Linked DNA regions of Canis lupus familiaris. The protein of the gene in region 3 interacts with the protein of the main gene of each other region in a biochemical or structural test. Links are inferred from orthologs where the notes say so. Each region holds a gene or a part of one and is shown on either strand. Other genes may lie near its edges.

Region 1 (5,010 bases), on a different chromosome or scaffold from region 3:
CCTAAGAAAGGAATTTCAGAACTAAGATTTAACAGTTACATATTTCACTAGTCTTTCACTTTCAAATTCATTTACATCTCGGTTCAAAATTTTGCTTTACCATATACTTACAACGTGGTCTATGTGTGCCTTTCTGAGTGACAATTTCCTCATCTGGAAAATAGGAAAAATACTACCAACTTTATAGGATTGACAGATAAGTGACAAACTGCACATAACATATTTGGCTTAATACGCTGCATATAACAACTCCAAAATTAAATTTTTCTTTCTTAAAATATTTAAAGCACCTCTCCTTTTCCTCTTCTGTACCATATTCCTCCTGACGGAAGGGCTCTTCTAATGATTCTTAAGGACTCTTCTACTCTAAGGATTATGGCAATCTCTAAATGTTCTAGTCGAAGAACTATTTTAACAGTGATAATGGGTAGGTAATAGCTTTACTCTACAAATGAGAACTCAGAAAATGAGAGATTTGTGAGTCAGTGGTAGACAAGTTTGAACTACTGCGATGAAGGAGATTGGGCAACTTCCCACAGTGCTAGAATGTAAGAAAAAGTATCCTTTCCTCCAGCCAATAAAAATAAATGTTATTCCAAAAGCTAATGGACAAATATGAATGCCCCTCTGTGAGTACTTCTTCCTGAGGCAGATGATAGCTAGAAGCACCACAAACCTACATCGTAGGTAGGGTATGATTTTCTCAGTCACGGTGTCACAAATGACACAATGCTATTGTGTGCAAATGAAAATTAACTAGAATGTAAACAATAACACAGTTTAATGTGTATTAGCACAGATTTTAAAGAAACACATGAAGAGTTTTCCGTATATTTTCTTAATTACTAAATTGCTTTTATTAAAACACTTCTCATGTGAAACACTGAGTCTACTATTTAGTTCTCCCAAGGTTACAGCTGCAACTGTCCTACCACAACCCTTCACCTTCGACACCCACACACACATTTTTCTGTTAGGCATTTTAGCTGGAACGCCGCTTCGAATGTCATAAAAGCACTCTGCTGCCACATTTCCTCATGTCTTACCGCTGAATAGGGGAGAAACACTACATGAAATATGGCCTTACCCAGATCTCTTTGTTGCACTGACAAAGAAAGATCAAATCTCAAAGGCATATTTGGTGTGGGAGAGCAATGATGATATTCAGATATGAAATACTATAAAAAGGATCAATGCCCTGTGGTGTGTCATGGCATTTGCCACTCTAGTGTTTGCAACAATGCAAACCTAGAGTTCAGTTTCTCAGGATGAAAATGCTATCACATAGTCTTGAAGAAAAAAGAAAGATTTGCTTTCAAATTTAACAGTCAGAAGAAAAACCCAGACAGGCTCCTGTTGCCTAACAAGTAAATCAAGGATGACAGTACCAAATCTATTACAACAACAAAGTCTGGATTATTTCTTCCTTTGACTAATACCCCAAAATAACTTTTATAATTTTAATACCAAGTTAAACAGTTTTAATACCAACAAAATACATGCTTTATTTTTTTCTAACTGTCCATGAGACACTGACCATATTATAAAGAATTTATGGAACATAAAAAAGCATATTTTGGTAGAGAAGTAGCTTACTCACATAGGAAAGGCCATATAAAATCATGGGAAGAATGACAAAGTTGATACAAAAAAAGAACTTCATATGCTAATAGTCCATTTTCATACTTTGAACATTAAACTTTTTTACAAAATTTAAAACACACTTATTCATTTTAAACACTGAGTGGGAAATTTAATGTGAGCTATCAAGACTTCCTTATATTTAATCCTTTCTGCCATTTATCCTTTAGTTTTTTTAAGATTTTATTTATGAGAGAGAGTGTGTGAGGCAGCAGGAGGAGGGGCAGAGGGAGGCTGAGAGAATCTCAAGCTGACTCTGCCCTGTGCACACAACCCAACATGGGGCTCAGTCTCAGAACCCCGAGATCATAAGCTGATCTGAAACCAAGAACTGGACAGTCAACAGACTGAGCCACCCAGGCTCCCCTATCCTAGATATTAAAAATCAGATCTGTGGATAAAGAAATTCTTTAACTTGAGAGAGACTCTTTCGAACATTAAACATAAAGACAAGATCTGATATAAATAATGGTATGTTCACCTACCCAAGCACTCACAGGTAAAATTATAAAAGATGTTTAATTGCTCACGTGGGTGGCAGTGATAATATAGAGAACAAACTTCTTCATGATTTAATAACTCCAAAAGAATGAATTTGCTAACCTGTTTGGAAAAAAAAAAAAAAAGCCTTCTAAAGTTTAAAACAGAATAAACCAATGGCACTCACAAAGACCTGTTTCTTCACCCATGCCACCAAACTTCAAGATCTGCTTAATTAGGAGGCATTCCCTAAAAGAAGTTATGAAGTTACAACTAGAAATTCAAAACCAAGAAAGATTCCCAAGAGGGGAAGGGGAGTAAGACATAAGGTCAGGGACAAGAGTAGGGATCAAAGCCATGAAATAATTAATTTGTACTTATGGTCAAAATGTTTCATACACATGAACAAAGCAACAGAAGTATCCATGCACCTGGGCACAGATACATATAAACATTCTAAAAAAGAGGAAGAAAAACCTATTATATTCAAATTCAGATCAAATCTATTGGGTACAAATCAGATACAGGAAGGAGTGGTACTTCATTCATTATGAGTCTCTACTTGAAATTCCTGAAATGCTACTACAAAACCTGTCTAACACCTTCTCTTCCTGGTGTTCTAACAAGTCATTTAAAATGCATTTTATAAGCTCAGGGCATGTTGTGGAATGAAGAGCGCTACGTGCAACTAGAAACCTGTTCTTTTCAGCTCCAAAACGTTCCCCAGAGAAAAAAAAAGATAGTCTCACCAGAGAAGAGATTAAAACTGGAAGGATCAGAAACGGGTGCAGGGGTGGAGAGAGTGGACAGAGGAACAAAAGTGAGAGAGAGAGAAGGGTGAATTCCATAATTACCTGAAGTCATCTTCCCTCTCTCCCTCTTCACTGCCAGTCATCTCGGTTATAACTTCAGAATCCAACCAAAAGACACTATCATCTCCCGAAGTGCTACTCTCACTTTCAGTCTCCATCTTGTATTCAAAAAATTTAATCCTCAAGGCATGAAATAAAGAACACCACCAATGTTCAAGTTGTTCGGCTCTGTTTATGTACACCCAGGTGTGTGGCTGATGCACAGTGATATGTGATCACGCCGGGCCACAGTCTATTACGTACTATTCTAATTACAGTTGGGGTAAAGACAGGAAATCACATAGAGCACACTCACTGCATCCGACGGCTCCACACCTGTGACACCGAGGCCCCTCCCACCGCCTCAGGCTCTGTGACCTACATAATCCAACGCAGAACCCAAATGAAGGTGAGTTTTCACTAATTATTGATCTAATAACTATTTTTCTCCACGCGGGTTTCCAGTTAACAAGTTAAAAACAGTTTCAAAGTACAAGCTTTTCTTATTTTGCTATTTCAAAATGAATTATGAAAGGTAAACCGAAAACCAGAAAGATAACACTATGATGTAGAAGTCTCCTGGGCCAACCACAAAGAGAGGCACAGTTACAGACCTCACAGTTAAGGAGGATCGCAACTCAGAGACATGACAAGCATGCAGCAGGGACCTGCCCAACTTCATGCCTTCTCATATTACACCCATCTTTCCTTCCCCGCAGTAATAACTGCCAGATACACCTTGCTCAGGCATCTAAAATGGGACATAACAGCCAGGCTTGTCCATGGCCTTTTAAAGAAAAATAAATAAATAAATACCAGAAGTTAAAAGACATTGACAATTACACCAAATAAAAGCATGCAACATTTTTAACACACCATTTAAACTGCAGACGCCCATGGCAGCAATAAAATGACTTGCTGGGAAAGGAGTGAAGACTACAGCATCTGTAACACTGACAATAACACAACTGTTACTCAGAAAATAACCACGTTGGTACCAACCACTGATACGTCAGATACTCATCTTTTGGCCCAGCAATTCCCTTTCTAGGAAATTACTGTTTCTTATTTATTTATTTATTTATTTATTTATTTATTTATTTATTTATTTATTTTTATTCATCAGAGACACGGAGAGACAGAGAGGCAGAGACACAGGCAGAGGGAGGAGCAGGCTCCGTGCAGGGAGCCCGACGTGGGACTCGATCCTGGGTCTCCAGGATCACGCCCTGGGCCAAAGGCGGCTGAGCCACCCGGGCTGCCCTGGGAAATTACTTTATTTTCACAGGTGGAAATAACAAAGAAACAAATATTCACAGCAGTAAACTTTATAACAACAGAATAGCAAAAACCACCTAACTTGCTCATTAATGGAAAACTGGATAATCAAATTACGGAATCTCCACAGAACGGAATGCAATACATTTGGGTAGAGAAACTCAAGGCAGCCCTACTGGTCAAGACTAAGGCACAGTATCAAGGCAAAGAAAAAAGAGGCAAATGTGGACAACAGTATAGATGACATGTTCCCAAACACATTTTCAAAGAAGAGGAAGGAGAAACACACAGGACTACATGCACAGAAGATACACAGGACAGTACCAGTGAGAGCTGCTGTCTCCAGGGGGAAAACACGGAACGAGAGGGAGACAGGTTTTCACTGTATCGTGCGCATATCACCCTTGCAAGAATAATAACTAACTTTAACAGTCTTTTATATCCCTCAGCAAAGAATCAGATTTTTAAATGTTAAAATAACAGTATTTAGGTCTGCTTTTTTCTTCTAAACAAATCTAACTCCTTTAATGTGTTTCATGAGTCCAATTCACCTTTCCTTTTAATTCTTTCTTTTGCTCCTTCATTACTGTCATTGATTTGCCTCACTTTCTCAAGCCCTTTCAAACCTGAAAATGTGAACTGTAAGCAGTAGTTTTACAGAGAACGCTAGGACGGTCTAATCAACACAAGCTCACCCAGGACATCTTCGTTTCTAGTCCTAGGACCACTGCAGAACCATACCTCCCCGCCCACCCCACTG
Region 2 (5,112 bases), on a different chromosome or scaffold from region 3:
GGGATCCCTGGGTGGCTCAGCGGTTTCACGCCTGCCTTTGGCCCAGGGCGCAATCCTGGAGTCTCAGGATCGAGTCCCGCGTCGGGCTCCCGGCATGGAGCCTGTTTCTCCCTCTGCCTGTGTCTCTGCCCCTCTCTCTCTCTCTCTCTCTCTCTCCCTCTCTATCATAAATAAATAAAAATAAATCTTAAAAAAAATTTAATCTAGGTACTATTATTATTAGGTGCTCTTATCCCCATTTTACCAATGGAGAATACAAGGCATAAAAAGGTTAAATAACTTGCCTAGGGTCACAAAAATAAACAGTTAAGCCAGTTTTCAAACCCACACACAATGGCCCTTAATATTCCAAAACAATCTCTATTCTTTCATCTTCTATACTGAATCACGAAGTCCTTTAAGTTCTACAAGGACAGGGTCTCTTATGTTTAAAGCAATATTCCCAAAGCTCAGTTACATAATAGGTACTCAAAAAACTTCTGTTTATTGGATGAATGAAATATCTCTCGAACTTTCCTGTCCTATTTCCTTTGCCTCCATTTAAAGCCAGTCTTTCAGCATTTCATACTTGGGTTTGTTAATATATTCTATGAATTAGCCAATCAGGTAAACTGATATAAAATCCTCTGCCACATTTTCCATCACCCATGCCCAGTTAAACATATCTAAAGCTTTCTTGGCACTGCTTCAATTAGAATAATAAAATCTTAAGAGTCAGAAAGTACCTTTGGGATCAACCAGTCCAGTATTTTGCAGATAAACCCAAAGATGGCAAGTAACTAAATCTCGCAGCCAAGTAGAGCTAGGACCAGAACTTGATTCTTGCAATTTTTCCTCTAGGATTCACTCCTGGAGGACTTGCTTCACTCCCAACAGATGTCTCCTCACTATCCCATCAGCAAATCATGTTAATTCCCATTGTTCATGCTCAAGTTGTTTCTCCTGCCCAGCCTGCCTTCTTTTCCTTTTTCAAGAGATTCGAAACCTATCCACCCTTCAAAATCTCTTCTTATTCCATTCTTCATGATATTCCTCCTTCTCTGAAAAGTCTGTCTTCAGTAAGATCCTGGAGGAAGAGAATCACTGTCGCCTACTGGGCCAAGTTTGATGTACACTAGCACTTCCCACAAAACTAGGCTAACTTGGATGATCTTCCTTGAAAACTTATTATCCATTCTTTCCTCCAGTGCTTTAAAAAGTGATTTTAATAAAGACTAACTCACATATAGCACCTTCATAAAATGTTCATATATCTGGAAGAGAAGCTCACTCACATCTTTAATAGTACACATGTAACACCTGAAAGGCCCCAAATCACTTATCTTCTCCATTTAGAAACAACTCAGCATATTCACAAAGTCCAAACCCAGAGCTCTCGGATACAACTCAGCCAAAAGCCACAGTTCCTTGGGTTCATCTCTTTCTTTGCACACTACCATCTATCATCACTTCCTCCAAAACTCCATTTCTAACAAATAATTCACACTTCTTTTTCTTCCTCTTCTTCTGTACATTGTGTATTATAGAACCATGTCTCTTTTATCCTTTATTACTTAGTGAAAACTCCAGTTTGCTACCACTCATCCAACCTCAACTACCCAGTCCTCTTTTATATATTAAGTCACATCTACCCCTTCAGCCTGAAGTCTCATGGTATTCCAACCCCATGAAGGTCAATTTTCTTTTTCCCCCTTCTCCACTCTTCCTTCCTCTAGAAAAGTGGTCTCAAAAGTGGTGTGGGTGCAGCTCAGATAGTGCAAAAGGATCCACTGGGCTGCAGGGAAAAAAAAATAAATTAGAACTCTCATTACTTATTTTTTTCATCTTACCCTTTCTTAAATTCTATTTGTGTGCATTCATAAGTTACATAACGTACTGGTACAGCAGAACAAGTACATATATAATTAACAGATAACGAATTCTTGGAGTACGTGCTCTTTTACTGATAAAAGGGTATGATCAAAAGAGTTCGGAGACAATCATTCTAAAAATACCTCGATAATAAGACCAAAGTAATAGGTTCCAGACTGCAGAGGATTTATGTACACATGCACAGACTGCAGGAAGAAAACTCTTGTTCATATCCAAAGTCCTAACCATGCCCACCAACCTCTAACCCCTGCCAGCTTCTCAGAATTGAGTCCTACCCAAGAGCTCAGAACATAGGACAGCCTGGCAAAGCCTTTCATTTCCAGTTTGGGGGGGGGGGGGGGGGGGGGGGGAAGGGGGGTGGAATCTCAAAAGCGCTGAGATACTACCTTTATCTTTGCCATATTAGAGTATTTCTGGTCACTGCTCTCTCTTCTGACACTGCTCATAGTCTGACTTTATATGTGTGTATACTTTATACGCCAGTAGCTCCTGAGATGCGGTTCCTATTTCCAAATCCCTGGAGGCACAACCCCATTCCCTTCGCAGACGACCGGGTTACACGAACACCTACTGGACTGAGCTCACACCTCCCAGCATCCTTGCCTCCCCTGGCGATACTATCCTCCGGCCTCCCCGAGCCACACAGTCTGTCCCAGGGGAGAGGACAGTCCCTCCACCGTCCCTGAGCCCACTGCTCTTTCCTTCTCCGCCCCCGGGAGCTGCCAGCCAGGCTGGAGGCGGGCGGGGGGAGGGGTGTGACTCGACTCCCGTGACTGGCCCAGATGGCAGCGGATTCCGCCCCCACTCTCAGGCACCCCGCCACCCCCCGACCCCCCAGGGCCGCCTGTCTCCTCCCCACCCCGCCCCAACCCCACCCCCGGCCTCCCCGCGCCCTCACGCCGCTCCCACACACACTCACCGTGCTGGGTGAAGATATTGAAGCCGGCCTCCGCGGTGCGCCCCGCCAGGTCCCGCCTGCGGCCGGAGGGCCTGGCCACACTGCCGACCCGGATGCCGCGGGGCTGCGGCTGCTGAAGCCCCGGAGCCTCCCCGACGCGGCCCACCTGCTGCCCCATCCCTGCGCTCGCGTACTCCCGCGCCCCCCGCCGACCCCAGGTCACATTCCTCCTCGGCTCCGGCCTCGGGCTCCCGGCGCTGCTCCGGCCTCTCCTTCCCAGTCCAGGCCCCGGCCCCGAGCGCTCGGGCCGCCGGCGGCTCCGCACGCGGACTCCTCGCAGCAGCCGCCGCGCTGCCTCTGGGCGACTCACAGACTCTCCCCCCGCCTCCTCCTCCCGCGGCTCCGCGCCCCCAACGCCGCCGCCGCCGCCGCCGCCATCTTTAAACCACCGAGCGCTGGGAGAGCGTGGGACAGAGCGTCTCCCGCCCCGCCCCGCCCCCCCTCCCGGCCAGTCACCTCCGCTTCTCCGAGGGAGGAATTCCCGGAGGCCCCGCCCCCGGCCCCGCCCCCGGCCCCGCCTCCTCGCCGGGGGGTCCCCCTCGCGCCCACCTCGTCCGCGCGGCCTCCTCCACGCCTTCGGGTCTTTCGGGTCCTCCCGCCCTTCGCGCCCCCCGGGCCTGCGGGGTCTGGATTCGTCTCCGCCGACCCCTCCCACGTCCGGCTCTCCGTGCTGCCGCCTTTCGGAGGTGCACGGTCGAAAGCCTTCCCGGTCCCACCTCCACCTGTCAAGTCCATCAGGCGCGCGCGGAGCGCCCCAGGTGCACAGCAGGCACAGTTGGGACAGGAAAGCGCAAGGCGTTTGCTGCTTGCCATCCAGGTGAGCATCCCTGAAACGCCCGGGAGGATCCTTTTCAACACCGTTCTCAGCAGGCCTAGTCTAAGATTATACAAAATGTACATGAGGGTCGTACAAAAAAGGTACGTTATTTCATTGCAATTTTTTGAGACCCTTTCATGATGTTAAATTGTCCTCGCCTCCGTTGTCTGCACTCTGCAGCCTCATTGGAGAGACACTTACGGCCCCATTCCTCGTATTACCATGAATTCCTTTTGAACTCCTTTACCGTCTAACCACGTGTTGTTACCCTTACAGTGCTCGACAGTAAAGCTGATGGTGCCACTGGTGTGCTTTATATACCGTGCCCGTGGTCTGGTCTTCCTTTGATGACAAAGGAGAAAAAGAAAATTTCTCTTTGACCCTGAACTTACTCATCATTAATTTATTTTGTCCCAAGAGAGTGACTCAAGCAGCAGTGTTTGGATACATGCAAACACATGTGTATGTACAAATATTCACAAATCATTGTCCCACTGCACACGCTTGCATCTTAATATTGATCCAGTTTTTTAAATTCTCAAGGAACTTGGTAACTATCTTCTTACTCTTCCTTTCACTTCCTTATTTACTTAATACAAAGTATCTGTTATTACAGGTTCCACACAGAAAATATGCTTAAAGTTAAAGCAGACAGGATAGGAGACATTTCAAAGAAGCAACAAAACATTCACTAGGAAGGTAGGTTTAGGGGGGAAAGGCGGATGCGGCTCTCCTTTACACACCTTTCATAGAACCAGGATGACCTTAAAAAAAAAAAAGAAAGAAAGAACCAGGATGACCTTAGATGGACCATCCATTGACATTGATACTATCAGAGCACTATGGAATTATTCCATTGTGATCCAGGGTAACCCCAAATAACTGAAATTGCCCCTCCCCCAAATGGTAACAGAAACACTGTGCTTTAGCACTAGATAGAATATGAATTTTCCATTTGGATCAAAGCTTTCCTGTGTTTAAAATATTTTTTTCCTTTTAATTCCTGAAGCATTTGCAACTACTGGGGAAAAAAATCAATTACAAGGGATAAAGGTTATCATAGAGGTAGAACTTGGTGTATTGTTTGGTTTTTATTATCTGAGAGAATACTAATTTAAGCATAGCAGTCTGGCTTCTCTGCTAATTCATGCATGGTACATAATAGATGAGTATAGTACAGTGGCTAAGGGCAGGGATTCTGAAGCCAGACTGAGCTCAAAACTGGGCTCTGATACTTATTAGGTAAATACTTCACCTTATCCATGAGGTGATGATGATGACAATAATACCCACCTTATAGAGCTGTTGTTAAAAGTAAACTGGTTAACAGAAAGCACTTAAAACAGCATTTGGCATTTAATAAGTGTCAGATAGCATTTACTACTAGTACTCAAAAAAATAGTGTTATCAGAAGTCCATCAGATTTTCCAAGCACATTTTTTTCAAGTGGTGTAGCTTAAATTAT
Region 3 (4,840 bases):
CATCTTCAATTTGCCAAATAAGGATTTAAAAGCCTCATCATTGACTTTTATTTATTTATTTATTTATTTATTTATTAAATTTTATTTATTCATGAGAGACAGAGAGAGGCAGAGACATAGGCAGAGGGAGGAGAAGCAGGCTCCATGCAAGGAGCCTGATGTGGGGACTCAATCCCAGGACTCTGGGATCGTCACGCCCTGAGCCAAAGGCAGAGGCTCAACCACTGAGCCACTCAGGCGTCCCTCATCATTGACTTTTAGATAAAAGACATGTATTGTCCAAATACTAAAGCTAGTTTCTTCTGGTCATCCTTTCCTTTTGGTCTTTAAACAGAACATAGGACCCTGTGACAGAAACAAATCTTCTATGAGCACTGTTCAGATCTCAAAAGGAAAGAGAAAGAAGTACAGAATAGTGTCAGCTCTCTAGTCAGAATTCCGAAGTTGAAAATCTGGCTCAGTCATTTATCAGCTGTGTGACCTTGGGCAAGTTCCTGAATCTCTCTGTTTCCTCACCTATAAAATGAAAATATTTTAGTAAATAGAGATTACAGTATTTCTCACCAGATTGTTATAGACAGAAAATGAGACAAGGCACAGAAAGTACTCAGCAAAGTACTTGGCACAGAATAACCAGTCAATAAATGTTAGCTATTAATACTCTACACGCTTTTCTAAAATTAAAGAAATTCCTCTGTATAGTTTCAAAAAGAAAAGAGCTTGACGGGGAAGCAAGGAGAACAAAGACTAAGTAACCTTTATAAAGACAGCAACTCAATCAATTGCTCTATGTGAAAAACTGGGCACATTACCAGAAACAAGAATTAACACAATGCCTGTGAACTTTCCACACCCCATCCACAAACTCTGGCAATCTTCACCTTCTCTCTTGAGCCAAGGATTTGAACTCCTATCTGTTATGAAAAGGTGGAGCTCAATATCAAGGTAAGCGCAGAGATATAAAGTCATAACACAAAGGTGTGTAGAAAGCTCAAACCAGCAAACCTGCCTGTTGTCATCTCCAAATTTTGCAAAACGCATACATAAAAGGTTGAAAACTGGGGGTGCAGGAGGTTGAAAATTGAATTTCAGTGACAGTTTGACATATTACTGCACTGTAATGCACAACCCTAGATACCAAGAAGGTGGTGAAAAAGCACAACATAGGGATCCCTGGGTGGCGCAGCGGTTTGGCGCCTGCCTTTGGCCCAGGGCGCGATCCTGGAGACCCGGGATCGAATCCCACATCGGGCTCCCGGTGCATGGAGCCTGCTTCTCCCTCTGCCTATGTCTCTGCCTCTCTCTCTCTCTCTCTCTGTGACTATCATAAATAAATAAAAATTAAAAAAAAAAAAAAAAAAAAAGGAAAAGCACAACATATCGGGTTTAGGGCAAATTTATGTTCTATCAATATTCCTGTCTCATGTTATGCTATTAAACCAAACAGACTGGGACGTGCCTGGGTGGCTTAGCGGTTGAGTGACTGCCTTCACCTCAGGGCATGATCCTGGGTCTGGGGATTGAGTCCTGCATCGGGCTCCCAGCGAGAAGTCTGCTTCTCCCTCTGCCTGTGTCTTTCATAGATAGATAGATAGATAGATAGACAGATGATAGATAGATAAATAAAATCTTAAAATAAAAATTAAACCAAGCAGACTGAGAAGACCTAGGATACTTCCTGGATTTAAAGATCTCATACTCTTCCTATAATTGATACGTGTTAGCAACAGAGACTGACTATCCCATCTCCCTATTTCTGGCCAGAGTGAATGAATCTAAATTAGGACTATCCCTAAAGGGCAAGTTTGCAAAGGCTGGCTCAGGAGGCTCCTAATTCTTATGAGACTGGCCTGGAGCTAGCCTCAGCTGGTCAGAAGAAAACTGCTTCAATTTGAAAAATGAGAAAGACTACAACTCTTGGTGCTGTTACACAGATGATGGTAATCTGACAATAACCTCAGAATTACTCTGTATTTCACAAATCTCAAGTACTAAGTGCATGAACCTCCTTAACATTCTCCAAACAGCTCTAAAGGCGTAAGTAGGACAGTCACATCTCAGTGATCCTTGGTTAAGAAAGAAAAGGGCCACAGCCCCAACTTACTGAGCAAGAGGCCCTGACATATGACATTGACAATGCTTAAGTCCAATGAAATTGGAAGTTCCATTCACTTCCAAGGAAGGGACTGTTTCCACTGGCTTATTTCCTGGGAGGGGTGTGGGGGCATAGAATCTGTCCTCCACAAAATACCCTGAAAACTAGAACCCTCTAATTGTGGAAAAGAGTCTCTGGACGCCAAGATCTCTTGGACACGGTCAGCTGGACATCAACTTGTTCTGGGCTGATCACAGAGGGCTTACTTCTGTCACCAAGGCACTTAGCTCACCACCTTCGTCCTCCGCGGGGGAAGAGGACAGTAAAAGTATTTTGGAAAGATGCCCAAGAAAGGAAAAAGCTGACCGGTTTCCTGAGGGTGTCTCCATCCCTCCGGGCTAGTATGTGGTGACTTCCTATCAAAGGCCAGCAGGGGAGAATAGCTCTCCAAACCAAACCCGGCTCTCTAACAGTACAGGAAATGTTTCAAGCCTAAAAAGCCACTTGTAGGATTATCGAATTCATCCTGGGAACCGCTGCCAAGTGATGCCCCCGCAGTGCCAATATCCCCCTCCGCTCTTTGTCCCCACGTTGCCCGCCCTGCCCTAGTGCCTGGCCCCGGCGCTAGCCCCACCCTGGGGCCGAAGCAGTTCCCCTTCCCCTGGGCTGTCCTCCCAAGTCACACCCAGAGGCCTGGGTCAGCGGCTCCTCCTCCACACACACACAACCGCCAGTGGTGGGAACGAGCCCGGGCACCAAGGTACCCCCATGCCAGGGTCGCTCCAGCCCTCTGCCCACGTCCCTCGTGGAGGCTAGCTCGCGAGGGGCAGCCGGTCAGGCTGGCGAGTTCCGCGGCCCTCACCCCGCCCGGGGCCTCCCGTCCCGTCCCGTCCGTCCTCACCGGGCGGAGGCTGGGCGGGCGACGGTGGCACAGACGGGCGCGGGCCGCTGCTGTTGATGATGTAGTGGGAGACGCGCGAGTTCTCCGAGACGCTGAGCACATAGTCCCCGGGGCTGGTGCTCGAGTCCCGCACCAGAAACACCCCGTGCCGCTGGCCCTGCAACAGCGCCACCGCCTCCTGCCGGCTCAACCGCCCCCAGTACCAGCTACTCCGCTCCTCCGAGTCGAAGTTGCCCGCCATGGCCGCCTCCGCGCCTACACGCTGGGCCGCCGCCGGCACGCGCGCCCCTCCTGCCCCGGCGCCCGCCGCCCAGCGGACCGGCTCGGGTCTCAGCTTCACAGCAGTGCCCGAAATGGCGGCGGCGGCCGCGGGCCTTCCCCACCGGAAATGACGCGCACCTTGCCCCCGCGAGGATGCCGGGAAGGGGACCGCAACCCGCCATGGGGAGAAGGGCAAAGGACAGCTCGGGTGCGCACTGCGCATGCGCCGCCGTGTGCGTCGCCGCCTGGCGGGGATCGGGACTGCAGGGGATGGAGGGGCCAAGTCCAGGGCCGGTGGTAGGGGCTCAGCGAGGAGTCGGCGGAGGTTTGTGTTTGCGGTTTTGGCCACGCGGCTCCAGGGTTCGAGTTCCTGGAAGGCCCGGGAATTCTAGGCAGCAACTCCGAGACACAGTTGGACTACAAAAGATGTATGTGGCCTCAGGGCCTGAGCTCCTGGAGACTTTGGTCCTTTTCTGGTGGTTCCTCCATCTTCTCTCTAGACTGGCTTAAGTATTTTGTTTGCACTGATTGACTCAGCAGTTACTGACACCACATTTGCTCTGTGGGTGCAAAGGTGATCAAGGTTTGGGCCCTGACCTCACAGAATTCACAGACCAGTGGGAGGAAGCAGGAACAATGACAAAGGAATTCCAAGCACTGTGAGAGGGAACCAACCAGGAGCTCCAGCCCAGTCTGTAAAGGGATTCAGTCCTCCACCTACCAGAGGAGGTGGCTTGAGCTGAATGTTGAATGGCCAGTAGGGGAAGAGCATGCAAGACAGAGAGAGCAGAATGTGCCAAGCCAGGAGTTCTCTGGATTGAGTCTTTCAAGTCATTTGCCCAGATTCTTCTAAACACTAGTCGTGGCCAGGGGTATCCTCTATTCTCCTTACTATCATGATCTCTGTCTCTGTATTCCATATCTGTATCTGTATTCCTGTGAACAGCCTGTTCACTGGTGCCCTATAGACTTGCTGCTCTAAGTACATTGCACACATCTGACAGTGTGTGCTTTCTAAATTACAACTCTAAGACTGTTCCTACCCTGTGCACAACTTTTAACAGTCTCCAGAACTGGGACGCCTGAGTGGCTCAGTGGTTGAGCATCTGCCTCTGGCTCAGGGGGTGATTCTGGGATGTGGGATCGCATCCCACATCAGGCTCCTTGCAGGGAGCCTCCTTCTCCCTCTGCCTACATCTCTGCCTCTCTCTGTGTCTCTCATGAATAAATAAATAAATAAAATCTTAAAAAAACAAACAAACAACAGTCTCCAGAACTTAAAATTCCCAGTTTAGGTCACAGCATAAAATGAGGTCACAGTGTCCTCTTAACAGCTCCTACATGAACCTTGTGTTTCTTTTTTCTGGAATACCCTTTCACTCCTTTCTGGATCTGAATCTCAAATGTCTTCTCTTTTTTTTCTTTTTTTTTTAAGATTTATTTATTTATTTATTCATGAGAGACACACAGACAGAGGCAGAGACACAGGCAGAGGGAGAAGCAGGCTCCATGCAGGGAGCCTGATGTGGGACTCGATCCCGGGACTCCAGGATCACGCCCTGGGCTCAAGGCAGGTGCTAAAC

The links.
Region 1: the proteins of CRK (region 3) and ARHGAP32 form a complex in vitro, tested with the Homo sapiens proteins (2 studies listed by BioGRID and IntAct, with this or other methods). The link is inferred for Canis lupus familiaris from reciprocal best matches to the Homo sapiens genes CRK and ARHGAP32.
Region 2: of the proteins of CRK (region 3) and ABL2, one has a biochemical effect on the other in vitro, tested with the Homo sapiens proteins (2 studies listed by BioGRID and IntAct, with this or other methods). The link is inferred for Canis lupus familiaris from reciprocal best matches to the Homo sapiens genes CRK and ABL2.

What each region holds. Positions count from the first base shown.
Region 1 is NC_049226.1:5,524,502-5,529,511, reverse strand, and holds the start of ARHGAP32 (rho GTPase-activating protein 32), read right to left. Parts: upstream 3,169-5,010; 5' UTR 3,092-3,168; coding exon 2,976-3,091; intron 1-2,975. UniProt on the Homo sapiens protein: GTPase-activating protein (GAP) promoting GTP hydrolysis on RHOA, CDC42 and RAC1 small GTPases. May be involved in the differentiation of neuronal cells during the formation of neurite extensions.
Region 2 is NC_049228.1:20,504,473-20,509,584, reverse strand, and holds the start of ABL2 (tyrosine-protein kinase ABL2), read right to left. Parts: upstream 3,169-5,112; 5' UTR 2,949-3,168; coding exon 2,792-2,948; intron 1-2,791. UniProt on the Homo sapiens protein: Non-receptor tyrosine-protein kinase that plays an ABL1-overlapping role in key processes linked to cell growth and survival such as cytoskeleton remodeling in response to extracellular stimuli, cell motility and adhesion and receptor endocytosis.
Region 3 is NC_049230.1:45,570,294-45,575,133, forward strand, and holds the start of CRK (adapter molecule crk), read right to left. Parts: upstream 3,345-4,840; 5' UTR 3,238-3,344; coding exon 2,997-3,237; intron 1-2,996. UniProt on the Homo sapiens protein: Involved in cell branching and adhesion mediated by BCAR1-CRK-RAPGEF1 signaling and activation of RAP1.